Linked DNA regions of Oryctolagus cuniculus. The protein of the gene in region 6 interacts with the protein of the main gene of each other region in a pairwise test. Links are inferred from orthologs where the notes say so. Each region holds a gene or a part of one and is shown on either strand. Other genes may lie near its edges. The genes, in order: NRBP1, TEX11, MAD2L1, POLR1C, ZMYND10 and TSC22D4.

Region 1 (4,193 bases), on a different chromosome or scaffold from region 6:
CTCAGCCCTCTGCCTCTCTGCTGAGCCGCCCGCCTGCCTGGCCAGGTGTAATCTTTCCACTCAATCATGTAACCTTGCTCCCCCACCCCCATCCGAGCAATGGCACTCTCCTGTCTAGAGAGGTGCCCATCCGCCCTTACGGATGGCCCTTCCTTAATAAAATTTGCTACTTTTACCTTCCACTAAAAAAAAATTTTTTTAAATAATAATAATAAAAAAAGACACAAATAAGTTAAGGTGCAGCTTTTGTGGCAAGAAGTAGCACAGAATGTAACCTTTTTTCCTGGAGTATGGCTACCTGAAAAGAGAAAACTTTCGAAAGCGGAATATCACTGCCCTGTGCAAAAAATCACCAGACAACCCCAGAATGGTATTCTGTAAGAACTAAGGTGTGAAGGGGTAGGAACCTGTGTGTGCTGGGCTCAAGGGAGCATTCTCCAATATGAAGGTGACACCCGAGAAGTAACTTTGCTCCTCTAAGTTCAGAGTGCCAGAGGCCTCCAATCAACACAAATCATTTGAAAGCTCACAGCTCTTTTTAGAACTCTCAGCTCTCAGTTTTCTCCTGAAATGCCACCTGGCCTACTAAGCGTATTCTCTTCATTAAATTTTGCTACCTCACTTCTATTGTCTCACGGCTGAAATTCTTTTCTTGGGGCCAGAGTTGTGACATAGCGGGGTAAGTCACCACCTGCAATGCTCCACTTCCTATCCAGCTCCCTGTGAATGTGCCTGGGAAGCAGTGGGAGATGCCTGAGTCTGCCACCCCCATAGGAGGCCTGGATGAAGCTTCTGGCTTCAGCCTGGCACACCCCTCCATCCCCACCCCGCCGCTGTGGCCATTTAGGGAGCGAACCAGTAGATAGAAGAGCTTCTCTGTCTTTCTCTCTCCCTAACTTCGCCTTTCAAATAAAATAAATCTTAAAAAAATTATTTTCTTGAGCAAAGATAGGGACCCCTGATCCTGCCAGGGCTCTAGGTTGAGTATCATCCTAATTAATGAAGCCTAGAATCTCTTAACATAATGATCTGCCTCTTTCAGATCTCAGTCAAATATGTTCTGTAGCTACTTAGGTACCCTCCTATATTCTCCTGATAAAGTCAAGCCATCAAGGACGGTTCCCAAGGGACTGCACTGATGTCCAACCCACCCAGTGAACAGAGCCACACCCGCCTTCAGCACCTGGTTCAGCAGCCCACCCTCCCTCTGCAGCCTCCATAAAAACCCCAGATCATCCTCACCAAGCAGGATGATGGTTCCTGAAACTCAAAAGTCTGCTGCCTCCTCACCTATGAATAAACTTTCTCTTTCTTCTACCTTCAAAAAGAAAAAAAAAAAAAAAAAGGAAAGAAAAAAGAAAACTCTCTGATGCCCACATCTGCCCTCAACATATACCATAAGGCAAACCATAAGGTTTTTATTAGATGACATTGTAGTGACCACCAAATGGCAATGAGGCCCATCAGAGAGAACTGGCACTCTTTGTCCCGCGTTATTTTCCAGGTCTGTGCCCATCCTAGAGACTCGGCCAGCCAGGGCAGCTATCTGCACGTGTCAGTTAGAAAGTCTATCAGTCATCTTGCAGAGCAGCTGGATTCTCTGAATGCGTCTCGAATTTCTGGCTAGATTACAACAGTAAGCATCAGTGGAATTCCAACACGAGGCTGTTGGAACTGAAAGCAATGAGATCTGAAGAAGCGTCTGGCCCCCACTCATCCACACTAGGGCAGCACAGGAGAGGCCAAACCTTCATCAGGCACAGACAGAAGCCCTTGGAATGGTATTGTCTCCCCCTTCCCCAGTCTTCTCCCGGTGGGCAAAATGAGGACACTGCCCAAGAGCGTCCAGCCGCCCACCATCGGAGACGCAGCCTGGGTAACACGGGGGCTGCTGCCAAGTTAGAGAGAGGCCACATATGGGAAGGCCCGTTTCCAACCACCGGGGGGGGACTCGCCACCCTCGGATGCCAGGCGCGTCCACTCTGGAGCAGCGCAGTGGACCCGCAAAGTTCTTCTCCGAGACTTTGATTTATTCGACCGCAGCCCCCCTCCGCCTGTCAACTTCGCCGCAGCTCCCAGGCCACAGGGCCTCTCGGCTGTCCTTAACGCCGCCGAGCCTCGGAGGCCGCGGGACGGAAAGCAAGCTCCGGGGAGGGAGAGAGGCCCTCCCAACTGCGCACTCCAACAGGTCCGCCCCGCGCGGCGTCCGCGAGGCAGCGGGGCGCTGCGGCCCGCGGCGGCCACCTCATCAAAGGCCGGCCCGCCGCGCGTCAGGGCGCAGGCCACGCCCCCGCGCCGCCGGCGCGCCGCCCGCGAGCAGGCCGGGCCGGGCCGCGCAGCTTCCGCAGGCCGCCCGGCCGCCGCCGCCCCCGCCCCCGCCCCCGCCGCCGGCCCCGCCTCTCGCAGCCCGAGTTCCAAGCGAACGCCGGGGCCTCCCGAGCCGCGCCGCAGAGTTCCGGGGCCGCCGCCGCCACGCCGGGGAGGCCAGGGAGCGCCGGGCGGCGGCCGCGGGGCCGAGCAGGCCCCTCAGCTTCGGCCAGCCCGGGGCGCCGAGTGGAGAGGGCCGCCTCAGCACCCGCCTACCGGGTGCCCCGAGCGGGCCTCGGAGACCGATCCCTCTGTCCTCTCGCGAACCCCTCCCTTCCCGGGACCCCACCGCCCGGGGCGCTCACCTCCCGACTCCGCGCCCCGCAGCCTGCGCTTCAGCTCCAGCTCGGGTTCCGGGGCCCCGGATCGCGGCGACTCCCTCACAGCTGCGCTCCGCAGCGCAACCGAACTGCGGGCCCCGCCCTCGCGGCGTCCTGACCAACAGATGGGCGGTGCCGCGGCGCCGTCAGGTTTCCATTGGACAAGGCGGCGGGGGGCGGTGCCCGCCGGGCGGCCGCTCGCCGGGCTGCTGCTCAACCGGGTCTCCTCCCCGACGGCGAGTGCCGCGGGCGCCGCGCGGGGCTCGGGCTTCTCCGTCCCAAGGTGGGGCTCGCCCACGTCCAGCCCCCCGGCCGGTCCTGGTGCCCCCGAGGGTCCTGCTGGGCCCGAAGAAGGGCCTCTCCCTCTTCTGGAAGGCGCCATGACAGTTCTCATGCCACGAAAAGACAAAAGGAGCGGGCGACGCAGCCTCGGTCTGAGGGGAGCGCTCGCTGCCGCTCGTTCGTTCCTTCGGGGCGATGCTGTGTGCGCAGGGCACCAGATCTTCGGAAGGCGCTTTTAAAAGTCACTTCGTACTGAAAATTAATAGCGCTCTGTGATTGCACAGCACTGACGGCTGCCAAACTGCGTGCAGGCGCCTGACGCAGATCCGCATCGTTTGATCCTGGTGGGAACGAACTCGTGGAGATTATCGTTCGGTGACACCTGACAAACGCAAGAGTAGAGAGTCAGAGCTAGAGTCCCAAACAGGAAGACTCGCGGGAGACTTCCTTGAAGTGACATTCGGAACGGGTGTAGACTGGTGCGGCGAGGAGGTGCGAGCTTGGGGCTGCGACCTGAACTCGGAGCCTGGGGGGTGAAGTTCCCTCTGGCACCAGACGCGAATGGTGGAGGGCGGAGGCTGGATCCCTCACCAGGATTGGGGAGTGTCTTCATCTCCCGGGGTCGCTGGCCTTAGAGGGATCTCTAAACCTTCAGAGCATGTTTATTAAAAAAAGAAAAAAAAAGTTCGCACTCACCAAATTTAATATATAATTTCAGAGTGTTGAGGCTAGAATCTTTGTTCTAATCTCAAAGAAAATAATGTTCTTGCTGCTCTCCAGATTAACCTTGTCCCTCTGTGGGCTCCAAAACAATTGGGACATCTGACCCATAGTAAATGTTCATTAAATGTCAGTTCCTGTCATGGTTATAGTTTCTAATTTCTTCTGAATGAGCCTTAGCAACCTTTTGCTTTCAGCTAATTCCTTTCAAGTACGCATAGAGGATCCTTTGACACCTTCAGGCTCTCGTTCCAACCTTGCATTACATCTGGCATGGTCAGACACTGCCTGTGTTTTCACCCCCACATTTATTTATTTTTATTTTTCCTACTTATGAATATAGAAAATGCGTGATTGTAAAAATATCACAATATTTCAAAAATATTTAGTACTATACATAGTAGCTTCTATGAGCTAGGGCGTGTTTTAATTGCCTCGTGATATATTAACTCATTCAATCCTCACACTTATACAAATTTTTTTTATTTATTTATTTTTTTTTTA
Region 2 (3,500 bases), on a different chromosome or scaffold from region 6:
GCAAGATTTTCTCAAATAAAAAATAAATATGTAAAGATTTATTAAGCATTTATAGAAGAGGCTTGGGTCAGCCATTTAAGAATTGAAGAATTTAGTTAACAGATACGGTATTTTACTTTTAAAATTTTGTTTAGACTATTTATTTATATTTATTTATTTATGTGACAGAGAGAGACAGAGACAGAGAGACAGAGAGAGGGCACTGTCATCCACTGTAAACTATGCTAAATGGACCCTCTACGAATTTATGCTAACTTCAATAGGACCTTCACTCCAGCTAAGCAATTAGGAACACTACAGCTCCTAGTACTATGTCAAGCATATAGTAGATGCTCAATAAAACTGAGTTTTCCCCTTTGTTGATTTCTGCAGTATATTTCCCACACAGGTGGACAGACTCTATCATATTCCTCAAGTACTTTATAGCATGCCATATCCTCCTACTGTATCCCTCTAAAAATTACTTCATCTCTCACCTTAAAAAATGGATCCGGCATTGTGACATAGCACGTAAAGCCACTGCCTGCAGTGCCAGCATCCCATATGGATGTCAGTTTGAGTCCCAGCTCCCTGCTAATGGCCTGAGAAAAGCAGCAGAAGAAGGCCCAAGTACTTGGGCCCTTGCACCCATGTGGGAGAACTGGATGAAGCTCCTGGCTCCTGACTTCAATCTAGTCCAGCCCTGGCTACTGTGGCCACTTGAGGAGTGAACCAATGGATGGAAGATCTCTCTCTCCCTTTCTCTCTCTCTTTCCTTCTCTCTCTTTCTCTTTCTCTCTGCCTTTCAAATAAATAAAATAAACCTTAAAAAATCTCATTCTCCTCTGCAATTTAAAATATCTATTTTATGTCCCTTTTATACTCCCCCAAAATTCACAATCTTCTTAATTTTCACATCAAAATAAACTACTAATCCTTTGTTTTACTGAAGAACTTCATCCACATTACTTCAAGGCAATTACCCTGCTGAAATGCATGTTTACATTTCTGGATCTCCCAAAAACTTATGCTCCTATGAAAGAGACACCACATATTAATGTTATTAATCCTTCTTAAAATATTTATTTATTTATTTATTTATTTGAAAGACAGAGCTAAAGAGAGGCATAGGCAGAGAGAGAGAGTCCTGGCTGCTCCACTTCTGATCCAGTGTCCTTTTAATGAGCCTGGGAAAGTAGCTGAAGATGGTACAAGTACTTGGGCCCCAAGACACTTGTATGGGAGACCCTGATGGAATTCCCAGCTCCTGGCTTCAGCCTGGCCTAGCCCCAGCTGTTGAGGACATTTGAGGAGCAAACAATTGGATCTCTGGACGCTCTCCCCTCCCTCCCTCTCTCTCTAACTCTACCTTTCAAATAGATAATTTTAAAAAAAAGAATAGACATTGTGATCAATGGAATAGAAATAAGAGTCCACAAATAAACCTCCACATTTATGATGAATTGGTTTTTGATATATGTATCAAGATCACTCAATTTGGAAAGAATAGTCTTCTCAATAAATGATATTGGGACAACTGGATAACCACATGTAAATGAAGCTATATCCCTATCTCACATTGTACTCTCTTATTTTAAAAAGATTTATTTATTTATTTGAAAGACAGAGTTACAGAGAGGCAGAGGCAGAGGCAGAGAGAGGTCTTCCATCCACTGGTTCACTCCGCAAATGGCCTCAACGATTTTGTGAATACACTAAAAGCACTGAATTAAACATTGTAAATGGGTGAATTCTATGGTATATAAATCATATCTTAATAAAAATCATAAAAAGTAAAAAAGGGGGCTATACTAGATGACTTTAGTGCCTCTTTCATTTCCAGGATTACATAATTACATTAAGCAAATTCATCACTGCTTTTTGTCAACTGAAAATGCACACCTAACTATAACAAAATGAGGAAACCTACAATGCAAACAGAGGCAAAGTACAACTTTGAACATTGTGTGATAACAGGAGATATTTTAAAGCATCATCAAGGGGCCGGCAATGTGGCACGGCAGGCAAAGCCACCCACCACGTGTGATACTGACATCACACACGAGTGTCAATTTATGTCCCAGCAGCTCCACTTCCAATCCAGCTCCTCAATAATGGCCTGGGAAAAACATCAGAAGATGGCCCAAATGTTTGGGTAATTGCCACCCACATGGGAGACCTGGATGAAGCTCCTTGGCTCCTGGATTCAGCCAGGCCCAGCACTGGTTGTTGTGACCATCTAGGGAATGAACCAGTAGGTGGAAGATCCCTCTGTCTCTTCCTCTTTCTCTCTGTAACTATGACTTTCAAAATAAATAAATAAACTTTATTTTTAAAAAAATTATCAAGGGGCCAGCGCTGTGACATAGTGGGTAAAGCCACCGCCTACAGTGCTGGCAACCCTTTTGGGTGCCAGTTCAAGTGCTGGCTGGTCCACTTCCAATCCAGCTCTCTGCTATGGTCTGGGAAGGCAGTGAAAGATGGCCCAAGTCCTTGGGCCCCTACACCCACGTGGGAGACCTGGGTGAAGCTCCTGACTCCTGGCTTTGGATCGGCCCAGCTCCGGCCATTGCAGCCAATTAGGGAGTAAACCAGAGGACGGAAGACCTCTCTCTCTCTCTCTCTCTCTCTCTCTCTGCCTCTCCTTTTCTCTCTGTGTAGCTCTGACTTTCAAATAAATAAATAAATCTTTAAAATAAAAAAAATAGTAAATGAAAAACAACAGCAAATGAAAAGACTCTTCTCAAGTAAATATTTGACTGAATATTTGACAGACTGAATGTAAGAGACAGTCACGGAGACAGGTGTTGCAAGAAAAGGCTGCTGCCACAAATAAATGACAGATGTTACATGCAGTGGTTGAAAATATATATTAGTCATTTACCCCCATTCACTCCCATACAGATCCAGTCACCATTAGTCATGTCTCCTTGAGACATTAGACAAGATCCAAAGATCAAATATAGCATCCTATAAATGGCCAGTGACATTTGATTTTCTTCTAATAGATTACCTCTCATTATTCTTGCATTTACATCTATAACTTGCCCCCGTAGTAAGGCTTGTGTGCCTATGATACCTACTGACTCTGCTTGGTGAGAATAGACTTTGAAGAGGTCCTTCTCCACAGCCACCTTCTGAATGATCACGTGTGCCTCAGTGTAACTCCTCTCCACTAATCTGACATATAAGTGCTCCAGACCCTGGGAAATAAAAATGCAATACAATGTGGGGATGAGAACAGCCACAGATGTTACTAATAATTGCCACAGCTAAAAATCAAAGGTAACTTACAACAATGGCAGCTTCAAAAAATTCATCAGAACGCACAGCTTTTCCAATATCTATCCAGCCTCTTCCTGTTTTAATATTCATCTAGAAGAGAAAAGTTAGAAAAATAATTTTTTAAAGTTCACATCTCCCCAGACTGGTTGGGGGATATTGGAGAAAATGCTCCTCTATCAATATTCAGTCACAAAACCTACAGAAAACAAAAAGGAACAGTCAGCATTTAGGAGAGT
Region 3 (4,135 bases), on a different chromosome or scaffold from region 6:
AGAGAATACATCCAATTAACCTCTATAAGTATTGAAGGATTTTAATATTGTATATATGAATGGCAGTTAAATATTTACATATTATCTAGGGGATAATGTAGCTTGAAAGAGAGATAACATGGTAACAAAATTCAGATGCCCATCAACAGGGCACTTTAAAAACAAAGTTCATGAAAATACAATGAAAATTATAAAGCATGAAGCTATAATTGAACTAAAAAATTTGAGAAAAAAAGGATTTCTGAATTTAAAAATTCCCTTCCCCTCAAAAAAAATATTTAGTTACTGTAGCACTCTTTGGAAATAACATGGGAAGCCAAATTGAGAGAAACACACTACAACATAGAAAATTAGAAATAAAAACCCTAGGCAGAGAAACTAATAAGAGTTCCCGAAGTAGGTAAAAAACCAAACAAATGGAGATCAAGTTTTGATCCAACAAGGAATACAATTTCTTGAGCTAAAGCAAGTGTTCACACAGAAAAATTTGTGAATTTTTCTAACAAATGGAAGTGGTTGAAAAATAAGAAAACTCTACTGGATATCTATTGAGTAATTATTCTTTTTTCTATTTTTGAAGTTTACTTCCCTAGTTGCATTCATTTTTATTTTCCTTGATCTTAATCTAACAACTTTATAGACGCCAGTTACAGAAAACCAACATACCATATAAGAACATATACCGTACATTTTCTTAAATAGATAATGAATGCCATTGGGATCATGCAAAATTCCATGTTGTTCCCCTGGCCACATTACCTGCAAAAGCTATTTCAAAGGGATTTGATGCTAACTGTTTTGTTAAGGCTGTGTAAGGTTTCTGAAAGTAAAATATCCAGCCCACTTAAAATGTAGTGTGTGTGTGTGGGGAGGGGGGTGGATAGGGTTTCTACCAATCTACTTCAATCACTATTATTTGCTTCCTCCCAATTGAGAATCACTATATTTGAGATGGTTGTTTTTTTTAAAAAATTAATACTTTGATATAGGAAGCTGAAAAAGGCCATTTAGCATGATAGAAAATGTAGCTCTAGGAATGCCTGCAACACTGGAATTTTTTCCAATGATTAAATACCTTTTAGTTGTTCCACCACATTATTTAGGTATTTGATAAGCTCAGGATCAGTAGTTACAAGCAAGGTGAGTCCATACTTCTGCACTCGAGTAAAGGTTTCAGATGGATATATGCCACGCTGATACAAAATGCTGTTGATGCCAAATGCTGAAAGCAAAACAAACATGTAAGTCATTGTCCTTTTGTACCAATGGAAAATAAAGTATGTTTAAATGTGACTAGTTTCATTACTCTTAAAAAACTGAAAATGGTTACACACATTTATTATATCTCGTGGAAACCAAAGTAATCAGAGTGCCATCAACATCCTTTAATTCAGGTCTGCCTTATGGTGCAGGTTAACTCAGTGCCTGTGACGCAGGACATCCCATACTAGAGTGCTAGTCCAAGTCCTGTTCTACTTCCCAGCCTTCTTTCTGAGAATGTGCCCTGGGAAGGCAGTAAAAAATGACCCAAATGCCTGGGTCCTTGCTAGCTGTGGGAAACTAGGACGGAGTTTCAGGCTCCAGGCTTCAGCTTGGTCCAGGCCATTCAAAAAAATAAGTATTTTTAAAAATCCTTAAAATCTTGTTACCAAGAGACAACTAAACAAAAGAAAAATGCCAAACTGCCTTAACCTACCACTTCCCAATTTTACCGTATTGTAAGGCAAGCCCAAGTTCAGATTATGTGTTCAGAAGACGCCAAACTAGACTTTTGCGACCCAGAAAACACGTGAATGAGTTTCTGGTCCACTGCGTCCGGCTAGCCTCTCCCTCTTTTTCCTCCTCACTGTTCTTTGAGGAAGTACAGCTCCCACACCTGGGCTGAGGGTGGAGTCTAGGTGGAAACACACGCGCTCATTTGGTGTCCCAAGCCTCTAGGAGGAGGGCGGGGTGGGTGGTGAAATATGGGGGGAGAATGGGGGGAGGCATCAACATATTAAAGAAGCATTTCGCTCCGTTAGAGGCTAGGCCCGGAGGCAGGCCTCAGGGGCACCTAGGCCTCCCCCTGTAGCATCAGCATAGAGACCGCACAAGCGTCCGCATCTCCTCTCCCCACACTCCTCCCGGGCAGCAGAAGGCCTGCAGCGGCCAAGGCTTCAGGGGTCCGCGAGGCCGAGCCGTAGGCCTCCCGCGCCGCCAGGCCTCAGGTATCCCCACCCTCCGCCGAGCGCCAGGAAGACTCACAGAAGAACTCGGCCACAATTTCAGCGCTCCCGCGCAGGGTGATACCCTGCTCCCGGGCTAGCTGTCGCGCCATGGCCAGACCCACGGACGCCAACGCGCGCTTCCGCTCCGCAGACCCAGACGGCGGCGGTCCACAGCAGTTCCCCGCCACCAGTTTCAAATGTAACGACGCAGCACGCAGTCGCGCCCTTTGCGTAAACGCGACGAGCCTCTAAGCCCCGCCCCTCGCGGCGGGGCCCTGCCCTTCCTCTCTCGCCTCCCCGACTTCGCTGCGGGGGGGGGGGGGGCAAGGAGAACGACAAGGCCGCTTTGCGCAGGCGCAGTTGGTGAACTTGGTCGCCAGGTTCCAAGTTTCTACGCTCTGATGTGGTGTTGGGAGATATTCTCTGGCGTGGTCGCCCAGGTACTTGTTTGGCCGCGCAAAGAAGGTGGAAGGTCTGCGTTTAAATGGTCGCTTCATAGACCTGTGGCTTTAGTGACCAAGAGAGGCGCACTTCCTAAATTTGAGAGATAACTGTCAAACTGTTGTGAGCCGCCTGGCCGCTGCACCTGAAGCAACCCGCAGTGCACGCTTGGGGGATTTTTAAAGGAACAAAGTATGCAGCTGCCAAGTAGTTTAGGCAGGCCTGGTGTCTTTGTGGGAACGCGGCTTTTCCGGAGAGACGGAGTTAGAGATTAAAGCGACAAACCGCATCTTGCTTTTCTGTCCCCTGCCAAATCTGTCTGGAAGTATGGCCTTCCGTCACAGACCAGGGTGTGTGTTTGTGGGGGTGGGGGTGAGGGGCGGTTGAGACCTCCTCCAGGTTCTGTCCTTTCTATCCATCTTTAGGGGGCTGGCCTAAACCTCACAGAAGAGGCCCATCGACACTGAAGAATTAACTCACTGAATTTTCATTCGCAAATTCAATAGGATGAGAAGTGTTAAGGAGGTAGTGCACAAGTAGCATTGATGTCCATTGTGAAAGGATTCTTAAAGCATCTAGGGAGATCAAGTCTGAAATGTAAAATGAAGTCTGAAAAACTCTCCTATCTGCCAGACATATGCATACTGTTATTTAAGTATATGAGAAATGCTTGAGTGTGTGTGTTTTCTATTGCTTCGGAACAGAGTACCATAAATTGGTGGCTTAAATAAAAAAAAACACCAATTGTTATCTCAGTTATGTAGGTACTGAGCATGACGTAGGTTCGATGTCACACAAGGCTAAAATCAAAGGTCTGCAAATGTGGTCTCATTTGCTGTTTGGGGTCCCCTCCCAAACTCCCTGGTTGTTGGCTGGCAGAACTACATTGCTCGCCGTTGTTGGAGTGAGGTCCCCGTGTGTTGTCTTGCATGTTTGTCACATGTCTTTTCCCATTTCCAGTCTCTGATTTTCAGGAGACCCTTGATCTTTGGGAGAGCTCACCTGAGTAGGTCAGGTCACCTCCCTTTTGATTAACCTAATCCCAGAAGTGATATTCCCCTTATAGTTTTAGGTTCTGCCCAAACTCAAGGCAAAGGGATTATATTGGATGTATCCCTTCAGGGGCTTGGAATTTGGGCCTCCATCTTAGCATTCTATTAGTGTTATGTATCAGATTTTTAACCATTTGAAGTTTAAAAATGAACATAATCGGTAATAGGCTAATATAACCCAGTGAAATATTTTCCTTATATCCTTTATTGTGTGTATGTGTAGAAACTGCAATCTTTGATATTAGGGACAATAGGTGATGTGAGGGTAAGGAGAAAGAAACTTGGATGTTCTTCATCCCTTCTACTGGGAGCTTAAAAGTAGGACTAGAATTTGCCATCAGACTAATAGTGTGGTGTCCACCTTTCTCTGTATAAAATTTGCCTCTCTTTCTAAGAAACTCCATGTTAAAACAGCATTCAGGAAAGAATTTCTTG
Region 4 (4,000 bases), on a different chromosome or scaffold from region 6:
ATGCGGGGATGGCCCGTGAGGCTCCTGGCCCTGGGGTCCTGCTCCCTAGCTTCTGTCGGGGTTCTACTGGGCTCCAACTGGGGCAGCCTGAGGTCAAGGTCACCCACACGACTCCAGATCGCGCAGGTATCCTGCACTTGCCAAGGATTCAGCCCCGCTTACCTGGTCAGCCACCTGCCGGCTCAGCTGCCCCTTAAAGCCCTTCATGCCCAGGAACTCCCCATCCTCCTCTTCCGCAGCGGCCGCGTCGGCGTCCACTTCTTCCTCGCGCAGGCGCTGGTGCAGCTCACCCATGTCCTCGAAGCTGGAGCCCGAGGTGTCATCCATGTTCTCCATGTCAATCACGGCAGAGCCCCCACCCTGTGAAGGCAATGCCTCCTACAGTGCAGGCCTTTCTGGTCCCTGCCCCGCTGCTGGCGCCGCGCCTCCGAATCCCCGCACATCAGGCCACTGTCACCCCTCACTTTCTCTCAGAACCCCCTGGCTGCTGGTTCCGGCGCTCTCCTCTAGCCCGAGAAGCCACCTACTTGTCTTCCGCTCATGCCTTTTCCCCACCTTCCCCATCAAAGGCCCCGAGGGTTTGCAAGGCGCAAGCAAGACCATGCACACAAGATGTTTCTGGCGAGTGCCAGCGAATCCCGCCCACTGCCCCGCTTGACCCCGATTGACCTCCTCTTCTGTCTCTCTTCCTAACGCCTCAGGCGCGTCCAGAGACCCGAGGCCCTCCGGCCGGCACTAGCTTCACTGACTTTCCCGTGCACGAAGACCCAAAGGGGAGAGGAGTGTTGCAAATGGAGGAAGCTTTCGGGCCCCGAGGGAGGCTTCCCCAGACACGTCGGGGTGGCCGGCAGCCGAAGCGCTGGGGCCATTACCTGGATGTTTTCTTCGAACCCGCCCCATTCCGGGCCGGCCCCGTTTCGAGCGCCGCCGGCCGGCGCCGCGGTGGCTGCCATGTCCCTGGAGGGCTCCCGTCCCCGAAGCCAGCGCTAGCCCCGCGCGCGGAGGAAGAGGGGGCAGACGTGGGCCTGAGGCACGGAGACGTCCAGGGCCGAGGACAGGCGCCACCAGCCGGAACGCAAAAAAGAGAAACCCGGATGTTTGGCCCAGACAGACTTCCGGAAGTTGGGGACGTGGACGGAGGCGGGGCAAAGTCTCGCGATACGTCGGGCTCCGGGAGGCGGTGCGTTGCCACGGCGACGGAGGAAAGCCGCTAGAACGCACGCGCAGGCGTGAGGCCTTAGTCTCGTGGGGGAAGTCGAAGATGGCGGCGGCTCAGGCCGTTGAAGAAATGCGGAGCCGCGTGGTTTTAGGGGAGTTCGGAGTTCGGAATGTAAGCCTTGTGGCCTTGAGTTCAGAAGGAAGTATGAGAGGGACGGGTCGGGATCAAAGTGAGGGCGGGCTTGGCTTCGCTGCCTCTTCACGGACGGACCCGTATCTCTAGGTTCATACCACCGACTTCCCCGGGAACTATTCCGGTTATGATGATGCCTGGGATCAGGACCGCTTCGAGAAGGTGCGTGGGGCCGGAGTGTGATCGGAGCAGCCCGGGCTTCCGAGCTGCTCCCAGGGGTCACTCACGTGGCAAAACCAAGTTTGCTCAGCATCCGACCGTGTCCTGGGCGCTCCTTGCACACCGGGCTTCTGCCTTGTTCTGCGATCGAGCTGTTCAGGCCTGTACAGGTCATTCTAGTTGGATGCGGTGACGGCGGCTGAGAGTGGGGGTGGGGCACCCCTCAGAGACGGTCTAGACTGGGGCAGAATCATAGGATTCCCTGAAGGAAGTGACATCTGAGTTTGAGCCCTGAACGGTGAGTGAAGGTCGAGGAGGGAGGAGTAAGCGAGCTAACTTGTAAAGACGGGGTGGGCGTGTCCCTAGAATGTCCGAACCGCGCATTATTGATAGAATGTTACACTGGCCTGACGGCGGGCACTGGGGGTTCTTGAGCAGGCGTGACCAGGTGATCCGGTTTGCAGCTTTGGTGGTTGAGAAGGAGGAGAAGGGGCGGGCAGATCGCTAGGCAGTGCTGGGGGAAGGAGCCCAGGAGTGCTTTGGTGAGAGCGGTCAGGACTTTCTGGCTGTGGGAACTCATCTGACGGCTGGCGGTGCCTGGGCAGTGGGAACGATGACCCATTCGGTTCCCCGCGGTGTGGAGGAGCTAGCAGCCCAGGAGAGCGTTCGACAGAATGTGGGGAGTTGTCCATAGTAGTTGCTAAAACCGTGAGTGTGGTTGATGTCACTTTGGAGAGAGACAAGAAGCTGGGGACCGGTAACACCTAGGTGGTGGGTGGAAGGAGACGCAACTCCTCAGATGGAGGACTGGTGCCCAGACACGGAGGAGATGGGGTTTGAGAAAGGAGTTTTTTTTTTTTTTTTTTTTTTTTTTTTTAATTCAATGCCAAATGTAACATTAGTAAGAAAAGAACTGAGTCCTGTCAGCTGGACTAAACTGTATAGAAGTTTCTGCTCTTCATAGAATAGCTTCTGGCTCAAGCCATATTGCATAGGATTTTCAACTAGTGGCATACAAAACTGGGGGCATTGTTCAAGAAACTAAAAGAACAGAGGAAGAAAACATCAAATGAGGCTTTGCTGGGCAGAGGAAGGCTTCTGGGGGAGCGGGGATGTTCCGTGTCAAGGGGGAGCTGTAGCCAGGTCACACCAAGAGCAGGCTCCATCCACTTGTTTTTCCTTTGCCTCTAGAACTTCCGCGTGGATGTGGTACACATGGATGAAAACTCGCTGGAGTTTGACATGGTGGGAATTGATGCGGCCATTGCCAATGCTTTCCGGCGAATTCTGCTGGCGGAGGTATCAGCGGGGCCGGTGACGGCTGGAGCGTGGGGAAGTGTGCCATCACCTCATCTGTCAGTGTCTCAAGTTGCCCCCCCCCCCCCCCCCCGATTTTGTGGAGTGTTTTGCTTTAAGTTTTTATGAGGCATTCTTCTAGGAGTTGTCCATCTCAGGAGGTGGGGAGTCTGCCGGGTTTTTATAGACGGGTAATCCTGGTCTCTGGGTAGGTGCCCACAATGGCTGTGGAGAAGGTACTGGTGTACAACAACACATCCATCGTGCAGGATGAGATCCTGGCTCACCGCCTGGGGCTCATTCCCATTCATGCTGATCCACGACTGTTTGAATATCGGAACCAAGGTGAGGGCCTGGGAGATGAAGCTGTTGGGGGAAGTGGAACCGCTTTCTTCCTTAGTAGATCCTGGGACCAGCTGCCTGGGTTCGAATCCTGGGTTGACTCTTGTGGCCCTGGGCAAGTGACTCATCATCTGTGGACGAGAGGAGCAGCACACGGGTAGCACTCGGCAGTGTCTACCCTGATGCTCACTGCTGCTGTAAGGGCCGCCTCTTCCCTTTGTGCAGGGGACGACGAGGGCACAGAGATAGACACTCTGCAGTTTCGGCTGCAGGTCAGGTGCACTCGGAACCCCCACGCTGCTAAAGATTCCTCTGACCCCAACGAGCTCTATGTGAATCACAAAGGTTAGTGGGCAAGGAGGGAGGCCTGGCTGCTGGCTGTGGGGGCGTCTCGGGGCTACAGCCCTCTGACTTGTCTTCCCTCCAGTGTACACCAGGCACATGACGTGGGTTCCCCTGGGGAACCAGGCTGACCTCTTCCCTGAGGGCACTATCCGGCCGGTGCACGATGATATCCTCATTGCCCAGCTGCGACCTGGCCAAGAGATTGACCTGCTCATGCACTGTGTCAAGGGCATCGGTGAGACCCGTGGGCCGCCTCAGGTGCAGGGCGTAGCTTAGTCGCCGCAGGAATCCAGGGATGCTCCTGACCGGCAGAAGGCGGTGGGCTTGGGCTTTCGCGCTCAGTGGCTCGGGAGAGGATTCCCCCAGGCTGATCTCTCCCTTCCCTGCAGGCAAGGACCACGCCAAGTTCTCACCAGTGGCGACAGCCAGTTACAGGCTCCTGCCAGACATTACCCTGCTTGCACCCATAGAAGGGGAAGCGGCTGAGGAGCTGAGCCAGTGCTTCTC
Region 5 (4,001 bases), on a different chromosome or scaffold from region 6:
AGGTCTGCCAGGTTGGGCAGCTGGTCCAGGAGGGTGTCTGTGAGAAAGGGCCGAAGCTGCAAGGGAATCCGGGGGAGGCCAGGGTGAAGCTGGTGCCGGCCAGGGGACCGGGGCCAGGGACCAGGGAAGGCCTGGGCTGGGCTGAGGGTACCTGCGGGGCCTGTGTCGCATTGGCTGTGTCACCTGAAGCTCAGGTCTGGAAGGAGGACTTGGGTGGGGGTGGGGAGGGGATGGGATGGGGAGGGGTGGCGCTGGGCTGGAGCAGCTGGTGCAGGGGAGCCCCCTACCTTGAGAAGCTGTCCCTTGGCAAAACTCGTGAGGCAGTAGCGGGCCCGGGCCTCAGAGCTCAGCAGCAGGTTGTACAGGGCGATCCACACCTGCCCATCCAGCTTGCTCAGCTTTTGCTGCTCCGAAGGGGCCACCGTATGCCAACGGCCGCCCTCAAATCGCTGCAGCTTGCCTGGGGAGAGGGGCGGGCAAAGCAGTCTCTGGGAGCGAGTCCGCTGTGCGGGCGGGGGAACTGACCGCTGCCTGGGCATGGTGGGAAAGCCTGGGCCCCCGTGCAAGGTGAGTCCTCAGTAGTGGACACATGGGCCCTGCCTGCTGCAGAGCCCAGCTCTAGGCCCACTTGGGATGAGGCATCCTGGTATCCTCTGTGAGCTAGGAGCAACGTTTGTGTGCAAACTGCCCACCTGCATCGGTCCTGAAGGGTGGCCTGGGAGCTGGGGCGGGTGGGGGGGGGGGCATCTTACCGCCTTCCCGCCGGCTCCAAGGACTGTGCTCCAGCAGCTGCACCAGGAGGCAGGGCAGGTTGTGCGTGCTGAGCATGCGGCTCAAGGTGCTCAGGGAAAGGCTAGGGGCCGGGGAGGGAGGAGGGAGGTGAGCGGAGGCTACAGGCGCCGCCAGCCACCTAGGCCCCCGAAGGCTGCCCACCTGTCCACGCAGTCTGTGATGTAGCGCAGCACCGACAGGGCTTTCAGTGTGATCTCAAACTCCATCAGCTCTGCCTGCTTCTGCAGCTCCTGCAGGGCCACACGGTGCTCCAGCTGTGTCGGCCCCACCCCGACCCCCTCCTGCACAGGCCTCGGGGAACCTGGACCTGTGCCTTGCCCGCTTCAGGGATTCTCAGCCCACCTGCATGGGGGTGCTGTCCTGGGACCCCTCCTCCTCCCGGAGACCACTCTGGCCACCCCGGGCCACCAGAAGAGCCAGTTTGCGGTGGCAGTAGTCCACCAGGTCCAAGACGGTGTCTTCTGCCGACTCACACACCTCCTGGGGGGCAGGCAGAGGGGCAACTTTCGGTCTCTGATGCCCTCCCCGCACAGACACAACGCCCCTCGGGCCAGGCCCCGGCCTGCACCTCACCCTGTGGAAGAACACTGTCTCAAGGAGGTTGATGATGGAGGCCTCGTGGTGTACCTGCCAGAGAGGACAAGGCCACCGGGGCTGCTGGGGAGGGGGGGGCGGGGACACCAGCTGTCCTCCCCAGTCCAGGGCCCTCCGACGGGGTGGGAAGAGGCGTGAGGTGGGGCCCAGCGCACCACCATGTATATGGGGAAGGTGTTCTGGGGCTTGAAGTCCTCCAGCTTGCACAGCACGGGCAACACTTTCTGCTTCCACATCTCCACGGTGATCAGCTCCTCCACCAGCGTCGGGATCTTCGGAGGGTGAGGGAAAGAACAAGGGTGGGCGGGCTGGCCTTAGCCTGGCAAGCTTCCCCGGTCTGCCTTGGCCCAGCTCAGCTCTTGCACTCCCCGGAGTCCCAGAGACTCCCAGGCTGCCAAAGGACACATCCCAGCATGTACCCTGTTTCCAGCTGCCGCCAGCACCTCAGTGGGGACACCCTCTGCCCCTGCAGCCGTAGCACCCCTCCCACACGCAGCCTCCATCCACTCTGTCCTCTGTCCCCTAGGGCCCTTCCCTCTCACTGTGCCCACTGCTACTGCTGGCAGAGGATCCCTTCTGCCAAGTGGCATTTCAGGTCATGTGCTGGGGCCACCCCTGGTCCACGCTCCAGCCGGGCATCGGCATGGGCTCCAACTCTCCCCTCTCGTGTTGGGGAGGCTGCCCCCGCCAATGCCAAAGTCCCACTCGCACTCCAGTGGGGAGCTCGTCAGGCCTTGCTGTCAATCCAGGGACGCCTTCAGCCCTGAGGGTGCGGTGGGAGAGGAGCGACGGGCAGCGGCCCGTCATACCTTCCCGTGGGTGACCAGCAGCTCCTGGATGGGCTCGCTCTGGCTCGCGGTGGCATCCAGGATGGCCTGCATGTTGAGCTTCTCCAGGCTCTCGTGCTGCCGCGTCCACCTGCCCCAGACGGGACGTGTGCGCATTTGGGTGCACAGGTGTGCCGTTACGTGAGGGCGGGGCTGCATCCTCCTGAATGCAGCCCGATTCTCAGGAGCGAGGGGGGCTCCGCAGCGACAAGCTTTAGCCTCCAAGATCTCTGCCTCCCGCCCGAGCCCCTGCGCACTGGGCGACCCCTTCCCCGAACGTCAAACCCAAGCTCTCCCCCACTCAAGGCCTGCCGCGGTGACTCGGTCTGACCCAGCCGCCTCACCCTTCAGTGCCCATCTCTCGCAGCGGGAAGCTGCGCAGACCCCGCACCAGCACATCAGCCTCCCCGGGCAGCAGCAGCTCCAGGTCGCCCATGTCGGGGCCAGGGTCCCCAGGCAGAGGCTGGGGAGCGGGGGGCGCTGACACACGTCAGGACGACGGACTGCAGCGGGGCCGAAGTCTGGCACAGGACGGTTGTGGGGCGGTTGCGGCGCGTGGGTCCTGGTCGCCATGTAAACGGGTGAGCCCGCGCCTGCGCAGTGCGGCCGCGGCTCCGCCCCGCCCCTGCTGTCGGCTTCGCTAGCTAGCGGAGCCCGCTGCCCTGGACAACCGCGCCTGGGCCGGACTCCGGCCGCGGCCAATACCTGGGGCCGGCACTGGGCTGGGGAATCCGGACTCCGCCAGTTCTGGCAGCCGTGCCATCCTGACCACCGGATGTCTCATCGTGGTTTCCCGCAGCCTGCTCTCCAGGTGCAGCCCAGGGCCGGCAGCGTTCTCTCCGGACCTGCTCCTGTCCCGGCCCCTCCGCCACAGCCGGGAGCCTGGAAGGTGCGCGTCACACACACGCCCTCCCTCGCACGGCGCCGCTCTGGGCTCGTCTCGGACCCTCAGAATCCAGGCCCAAGGCAGCTTCCTAGGGTCCCCCTTTCTCTCTCCTCACTCGGGACTTCGATTCTGCCGTCTCCCCTTTGCCTCCTAACCGTCTCCCCTTTGCCTCCTAACAGCCCCGAGGCTGGCCCGTGGGCTCCTTATACTCCCCAGAGTGGCTTTTGCCTTAAGTTCTGTTGTTAAGATTTACTTTATTAAAAAAAAGGATTTACTTAACTAACTTAGAGACAGAGAGATCTTCCTTTTTTTTTTTTTTTTTTTTTTTTTTTTTGACAGAGTGGATGATAGTGAGAGAGAGAGAAAGGTCTTACTTTTGCCATTGATTCACCCTCCAATGGCCGCCACAGCTAGTGCGCTGCGGCCGGCGCACCGCGCTGATCCGATGGCAGGAGCCAGGTGCTTCTCCTGGTCTCCCATGGGGTGCAGGGCCCAAGCACTTGGGCCATCCTCCACTGCCTTCCCGGGCCACAGCAGAGAGCTGGCCTGGAAGAAGGACAACCGGGACAGAATCCGGCGCCCCGACCGGGACTAGAACCCGGTGTGCTGGCGCCGCAAGGTGGAGGATTAGCCTAGTGAGCCGCTGCGCTGGCCGAGATCTTCTCTTTGCTGGTTCACTCCCCAAATGACTGCAACATCCAGAAACAGGCCAGGATGAAGCCAAGAACCCAGGTCTCCCACGTGGGTGGGTGGCAGGGGCCCAATCACTTGGGCCATCATTTACTGCCTTCCCAGGTGCATTAGCAGGGAGTTGGATCCAAAGTAGACTAGCTGAGGCCAGCGCTGTGGCACAGTAGGCTCAGCCTCCAACTCTGCACCAGCATCCCATAAGGGCACAGGTT
Region 6 (3,935 bases):
GCCAGGAAGGGGGAAACATTCTCATCCTCACCCTCCAGGCCTTCCCCCTCACCCCGCAGTCCAAGGTGTTATTTTCTCCTGCAGAACAGAAGCATCCAACCCCACATTCCTGGCTGCCCACCCCCACCCCAGGGACCCAGGCATCCTGCCCCCAGCCCAGACTTGTTCCTCTTTTGGAGACAGGAAGCAGAACGCACAGGACTTAACTCCTCCTCTGCTGCTTCCCGCCTCTCTCCCACGCCACGGTGGCCACCCCTTGTTATCAACCCCAGAGGGGACAGAGGCAGGAACCAAGACAGACCCCCCCACCAGGGGTGAGGCGAGCCCCCCATCCCGTCCAGTGCCCCATCCACCCAGTTCCTCAGTGCCTCAGAGAAACATGGCTTGCAGCAAGGGTGGAGATGAGCCTGGGCTGGGCACTGGCAGAGAGAAGACCCCGCGCTTAGGATGGAGCTGCGTGGAGAGGTTGAGAGCAGAAATCCCACCTTTTGCCCCCTGAGCCTCCCCCCGCCCCAAACCCTGGCAACTCCTCGACCAGGGGCCGAGTCACCCAGCCCGGGGCCTCCACCCTCATTACCTGGAGCCAGAGGGAGTGAGACCCCAAGACAGAAGGTGGTGACCAAAGTGAGCAGACCATTGTAGCTAAAGGCTATATGGAGACAGGGCAAGAGCCAAAGGCAACAAATTAAAGGCCACAGAGAAAGAAGGTGTAGCTTGCAGGGAAGAGGAGCCCCAGGGAGAAAGCAAAGGACAGCAAAGTGCGACGGCAGAGAGAGAAAAGAGGTGCCACGGATGAGACAGATGACAGTGGCGGGGGAGGGGAGCATGGCGGTGAGGCTCCGACTGAGATGCCTGAGCAGGGCCCTCAGGAGTCTCCCCCAACCTGGAACCTGGCTCTTACCTGTCCAGCCTCCTCTGGAGCAACCAACTCCATCCTCAGTCGCAGGGCTCCATCTTTCCTTCGGGACGCTGGAGGGGTCCCTGCCGCCGGGCCCCCAGCCTCCACTTCCACCCTTAGGGAGGGCAGGGGCACGGGAGCCAGGGATGTGCCGGCGCTATCCCCAGTCCCAGGCTCTGGGAGGCGCTGCTGCGGTGGGGAGGCCGCCAGGAGGGGTGTCTCCACCTTGGCCTTGCCGGGCACCGACAGCTGGCCCAGCCCGCCGGTGAGGGAGCGGGCCTGAGGTCCAGGGGAGCTGGGGGGCGGACGCAGCCAGGAGGTGGGGCCCTGAGACAGGCCTGGCTGTGGGATAGGGGCGCCCAGGCCCAAGCTGGCCAGCTCCAACCTGGAATCCAGAGATCGACCCCCAGTGCCCCCCGAGGCTCCCCGGATCCCCTCCAGGAGCCGGCCGAAGCTGGGGGGCTCCAGGTCTCGCTCGTAAACATCCACACACGTCCAACGACCTCGGCGATAAGGCTCTCCCAAGCCGTGGGGCAGCTTCACCACCCGGAAGCGGGAGGCAGGGGCCCCAGGCGGTGGGGAGCCATTCCGGGGGGTGCTCTTGCCCCCTGGGTCGGGGTTGGGCTCCCCGTTGGGGAGGCGGGGCGGGGGCCCCGCAGGGGCCGGTGGGGCAGGGGGATCGGAGCCGCCGGGGCTCCCTGGGCCCTCGTAGTCCGTGGTGACGCTGGTGATCTGGAAACTACTCTTCTTTTTGCCTCCACTCATGGTCCCCGGAACTCAGGACTGGGCTGAGGTTGGGGGACTGGGGCTCTTTGAAGGGGCTCAGGCACCCCTAGAACAGGGGGGCCACATTGCGGGGGCATCAGGGCCCCTGGGAACATCTGGGTCCGACATGGCCAAAGGGCCTTGTGGGAACTGGGGGTGCCCGGCTGATGACAGAACAGGGTAGGGGAGGTGGCGGGAGGGGGGAGCAGGGGCAGGTTTTTCCTGCTGCCGCCGCCGAACTCCAGAGCTGAGTTTGCAAACTGGAAAGAGAGAGAGAGCGCGGGTGCGCGCGCGTGTGTGAGAAAGCAGTGGGCAGGCCACCTCCGGGGCTTCCTCTCTGGGGAGCAGAATTGGAGAGGAAGGGGAAATCGCCAGAGACCCAGAGACAAAGAGACAGGCAGGGGAGGCCAGAGAGCACGGCGTGGGGCACACAGACTTGGGCATTTCTGGCCTGGGATTCAAACTCAGGGGACCCAGTTTGTCCTGAGCGCACCGGCTCCAGGTCCTGGGTGAACCAGGGTGAGGCGGCACCTCCAGGCCGCTTGGCGGACTCTGCTGGGCCTCCTCCAGGCACCCCGCACCCCGGTTCCCACATCCCAGGGGCAGGCCCTGCCCGCGCCCCAAGCGCCGCGCCGCGCCACGCCCAGTCCGGGGGCCTTACCTCTCGGTCTCGGCCACCGAGCTGACCGTGGGGGTCCCGGCGCCCAAGGTGTTGGGCTGTCTTTTCCCGGGGGCCTCCTGGCCCCGGGGTGGCGCGGGGCACGCAGGCGGCGGTCAGGGGCAGCCCAGTCCTGTTCGGGGGCCGCACCTCCCCCTGCGAGGCATCTCCGTGGAAAGTTTTCGCTCCAGAAAAGGAGTCTGCGCCCCCTCGGCGGAGCCCAGGAGCCGCCTCCGAAGCCCGAGGTCTCCCGATAGCTGTGGGAGGGTGCGGCTCAGCCCCCCGCGGCTCCAGGCGGCAGCCGGCCTCGGTGGTCCCGGCGAGCGGGTCTCGCACACCTCCTCCCGCGTGGTCCCGCTGGACCTGTCTCCGCTCCTCGGCTGCTCTCAGTCTCGTCTGTCTTTCTCTTTCGGGGCTGTTGACAACCCCCACACCAGGAAGTCCTGCCTCCTCGGGCCTGCTGACTGCTCCTCTCCTCCTCCTCCTCCTCCTCCTTCCCCTCTTCCTCCCCCCTCCTCCCTCCTGGGGCTCCCCGCCAGCTGGCCCCGGGCCAGGCCCGCCACAGCCGCCGCTCTTGCAGTTGCTTCTGCTCCTGGGGCCCCAGACGGGCTCCCTTAACCCCACACCTGCTGGGCCCCGGCCCGGCGCTTCCTCGGAGGGCGGGGCTTCGAGGGCGGGGAGAAAGGGGCGGAGTTCGCCGAGAGACCAGGGATTCCCTTACTTGCAGGCAGCTGGCTGCCATTGGCCTGCGGACGCGCGCCCAGGAGCGGACCAGGCCCGTGCGGGGTGCCCGGCTGCCCAGAAGTGCCTGACTTAAACGTGCCGGCGCGGCTGTGACTGTCATTGTCACAGCTTCTTTGAAAGAGGAAGGGACTATTATTTCCCCCACTCCTTATCTGAAAAAGTGGATTATTATGAAAAACTTCCAACAAAACTGAATAGTGACCACCCAGGTACTTAGCAAGTGGGTTCAGCGATTAGCAACTCCTAGCCCGCCTTCTCCCATCCCTACCCCCAATGTCCTGTATCAGAAATCCTGGACATCATATTACTGAACTACTTGGATGTGAAAATTGAGACCAGAGAGTTTGGAAAAGGCTGTCATTCGTACAGCAGAGACATTCCACACACTCAGCTCTTTTCTATTTATTTATTTGAGAGGCAGAGTTGCAGAGATTGAGAGGGAGAGGCAGAGAGAGAGGTCTTCTATCCGCTGGTTCACTCCCCAAATGGCCACAACCAAAGCCAGGAGCCAGGAGCTTCTTCTGGGTCTCCTACACGGGTGCACGGACCCAAGGACTTGGGCCATCTTCTACTGCTTTCCCAGGCCATAGCAGAGAGCTGGACTGGAAGAGGAGCAGCCGGGACTAGAACCGGTGGCCATATGGGATGCGGACGGCACAGGCAGAGCATTAATCTGCTGCGCCCCAGTGCTGACCCCACACTCAGCTCTTTGTGTGGAACGAGAAACACATTAGGACTTGCAGACAGGAGGCTGACTTTCACTTTCTCTCCAGACACTGGACACGCAGGAATATCCACTTACCCACACAGGTGCACCTGAGGACCAACCCCAGCAGCCACAAGCAGGGCCCCTTTCCCTAGCTCTCCCGC

The links.
Region 1: the proteins of TSC22D4 (region 6) and NRBP1 interact in binary tests that used the Homo sapiens proteins (3 or more experiments, as listed by UniProt). The link is inferred for Oryctolagus cuniculus from reciprocal best matches to the Homo sapiens genes TSC22D4 and NRBP1.
Region 2: the proteins of TSC22D4 (region 6) and TEX11 interact in a two-hybrid assay, tested with the Homo sapiens proteins (2 studies listed by BioGRID and IntAct). The two-hybrid records come from large-scale screens. The link is inferred for Oryctolagus cuniculus from reciprocal best matches to the Homo sapiens genes TSC22D4 and TEX11.
Region 3: the proteins of TSC22D4 (region 6) and MAD2L1 interact in binary tests that used the Homo sapiens proteins (3 or more experiments, as listed by UniProt). The two-hybrid records come from large-scale screens. The link is inferred for Oryctolagus cuniculus from reciprocal best matches to the Homo sapiens genes TSC22D4 and MAD2L1.
Region 4: the proteins of TSC22D4 (region 6) and POLR1C interact in binary tests that used the Homo sapiens proteins (3 or more experiments, as listed by UniProt). The two-hybrid records come from large-scale screens. The link is inferred for Oryctolagus cuniculus from reciprocal best matches to the Homo sapiens genes TSC22D4 and POLR1C.
Region 5: the proteins of TSC22D4 (region 6) and ZMYND10 interact in binary tests that used the Homo sapiens proteins (3 or more experiments, as listed by UniProt). The two-hybrid records come from large-scale screens. The link is inferred for Oryctolagus cuniculus from reciprocal best matches to the Homo sapiens genes TSC22D4 and ZMYND10.

Annotation. Positions count from the first base shown.
Region 1 is NC_091433.1:175,555,873-175,560,065, forward strand, and holds the start of NRBP1 (nuclear receptor-binding protein), read right to left. Parts: upstream 2,801-4,193; 5' UTR 2,673-2,800; intron 1-2,672. UniProt on the Homo sapiens protein: Required for embryonic development. Plays a role in intestinal epithelial cell fate and proliferation, thereby involved in the architectural development of the intestine potentially via the regulation of Wnt-responsive genes.
Region 2 is NC_091453.1:50,676,084-50,679,583, forward strand, and holds part of TEX11 (testis-expressed protein 11), read right to left. Parts: intron 3,355-3,500; coding exon 3,274-3,354; intron 3,183-3,273; coding exon 3,063-3,182; intron 1-3,062. UniProt on the Homo sapiens protein: Regulator of crossing-over during meiosis. Involved in initiation and/or maintenance of chromosome synapsis and formation of crossovers.
Region 3 is NC_091439.1:45,314,142-45,318,276, reverse strand, and holds the start of MAD2L1 (mitotic spindle assembly checkpoint protein MAD2A), read right to left. Parts: upstream 2,801-4,135; 5' UTR 2,318-2,800; coding exon 2,245-2,317; intron 1,223-2,244; coding exon 1,076-1,222; intron 1-1,075. UniProt on the Homo sapiens protein: Component of the spindle-assembly checkpoint that prevents the onset of anaphase until all chromosomes are properly aligned at the metaphase plate.
Region 4 is NC_091436.1:126,548,517-126,552,516, reverse strand, and holds the start of POLR1C (DNA-directed RNA polymerases I and III subunit RPAC1), read left to right. Parts: upstream 1-1,200; 5' UTR 1,201-1,261; coding exon 1,262-1,330; exon of another isoform or gene 1,331-1,361; intron 1,362-1,441; coding exon 1,442-1,513; intron 1,514-1,810; exon of another isoform or gene 1,811-1,877; coding exon of another isoform or gene 1,878-1,958; intron 1,959-2,701; coding exon 2,702-2,809; intron 2,810-3,018; coding exon 3,019-3,151; intron 3,152-3,373; coding exon 3,374-3,493; intron 3,494-3,575; coding exon 3,576-3,728; intron 3,729-3,882; coding exon 3,883-4,000. Other genes in the region: protein YIPF3, read right to left, coding at 163-360, 873-953. UniProt on the Homo sapiens protein: DNA-dependent RNA polymerase catalyzes the transcription of DNA into RNA using the four ribonucleoside triphosphates as substrates.
Region 5 is NC_091441.1:98,973,200-98,977,200, reverse strand, and holds the start of ZMYND10 (zinc finger MYND domain-containing protein 10), read right to left. Parts: upstream 2,801-4,001; 5' UTR 2,650-2,800; coding exon 2,558-2,649; intron 2,305-2,557; coding exon 2,196-2,304; intron 1,659-2,195; coding exon 1,542-1,658; intron 1,420-1,541; coding exon 1,366-1,419; intron 1,273-1,365; coding exon 1,135-1,272; intron 1,023-1,134; coding exon 934-1,022; intron 854-933; coding exon 753-853; intron 461-752; coding exon 288-460; intron 57-287; coding exon 1-56. UniProt on the Homo sapiens protein: Plays a role in axonemal structure organization and motility. Involved in axonemal pre-assembly of inner and outer dynein arms (IDA and ODA, respectively) for proper axoneme building for cilia motility.
Region 6 is NC_091450.1:42,686,147-42,690,081, forward strand, and holds the start of TSC22D4 (TSC22 domain family protein 4), read right to left. Parts: upstream 2,801-3,935; 5' UTR 2,325-2,800; intron 1,924-2,324; 5' UTR 1,664-1,923; coding exon 902-1,663; intron 1-901.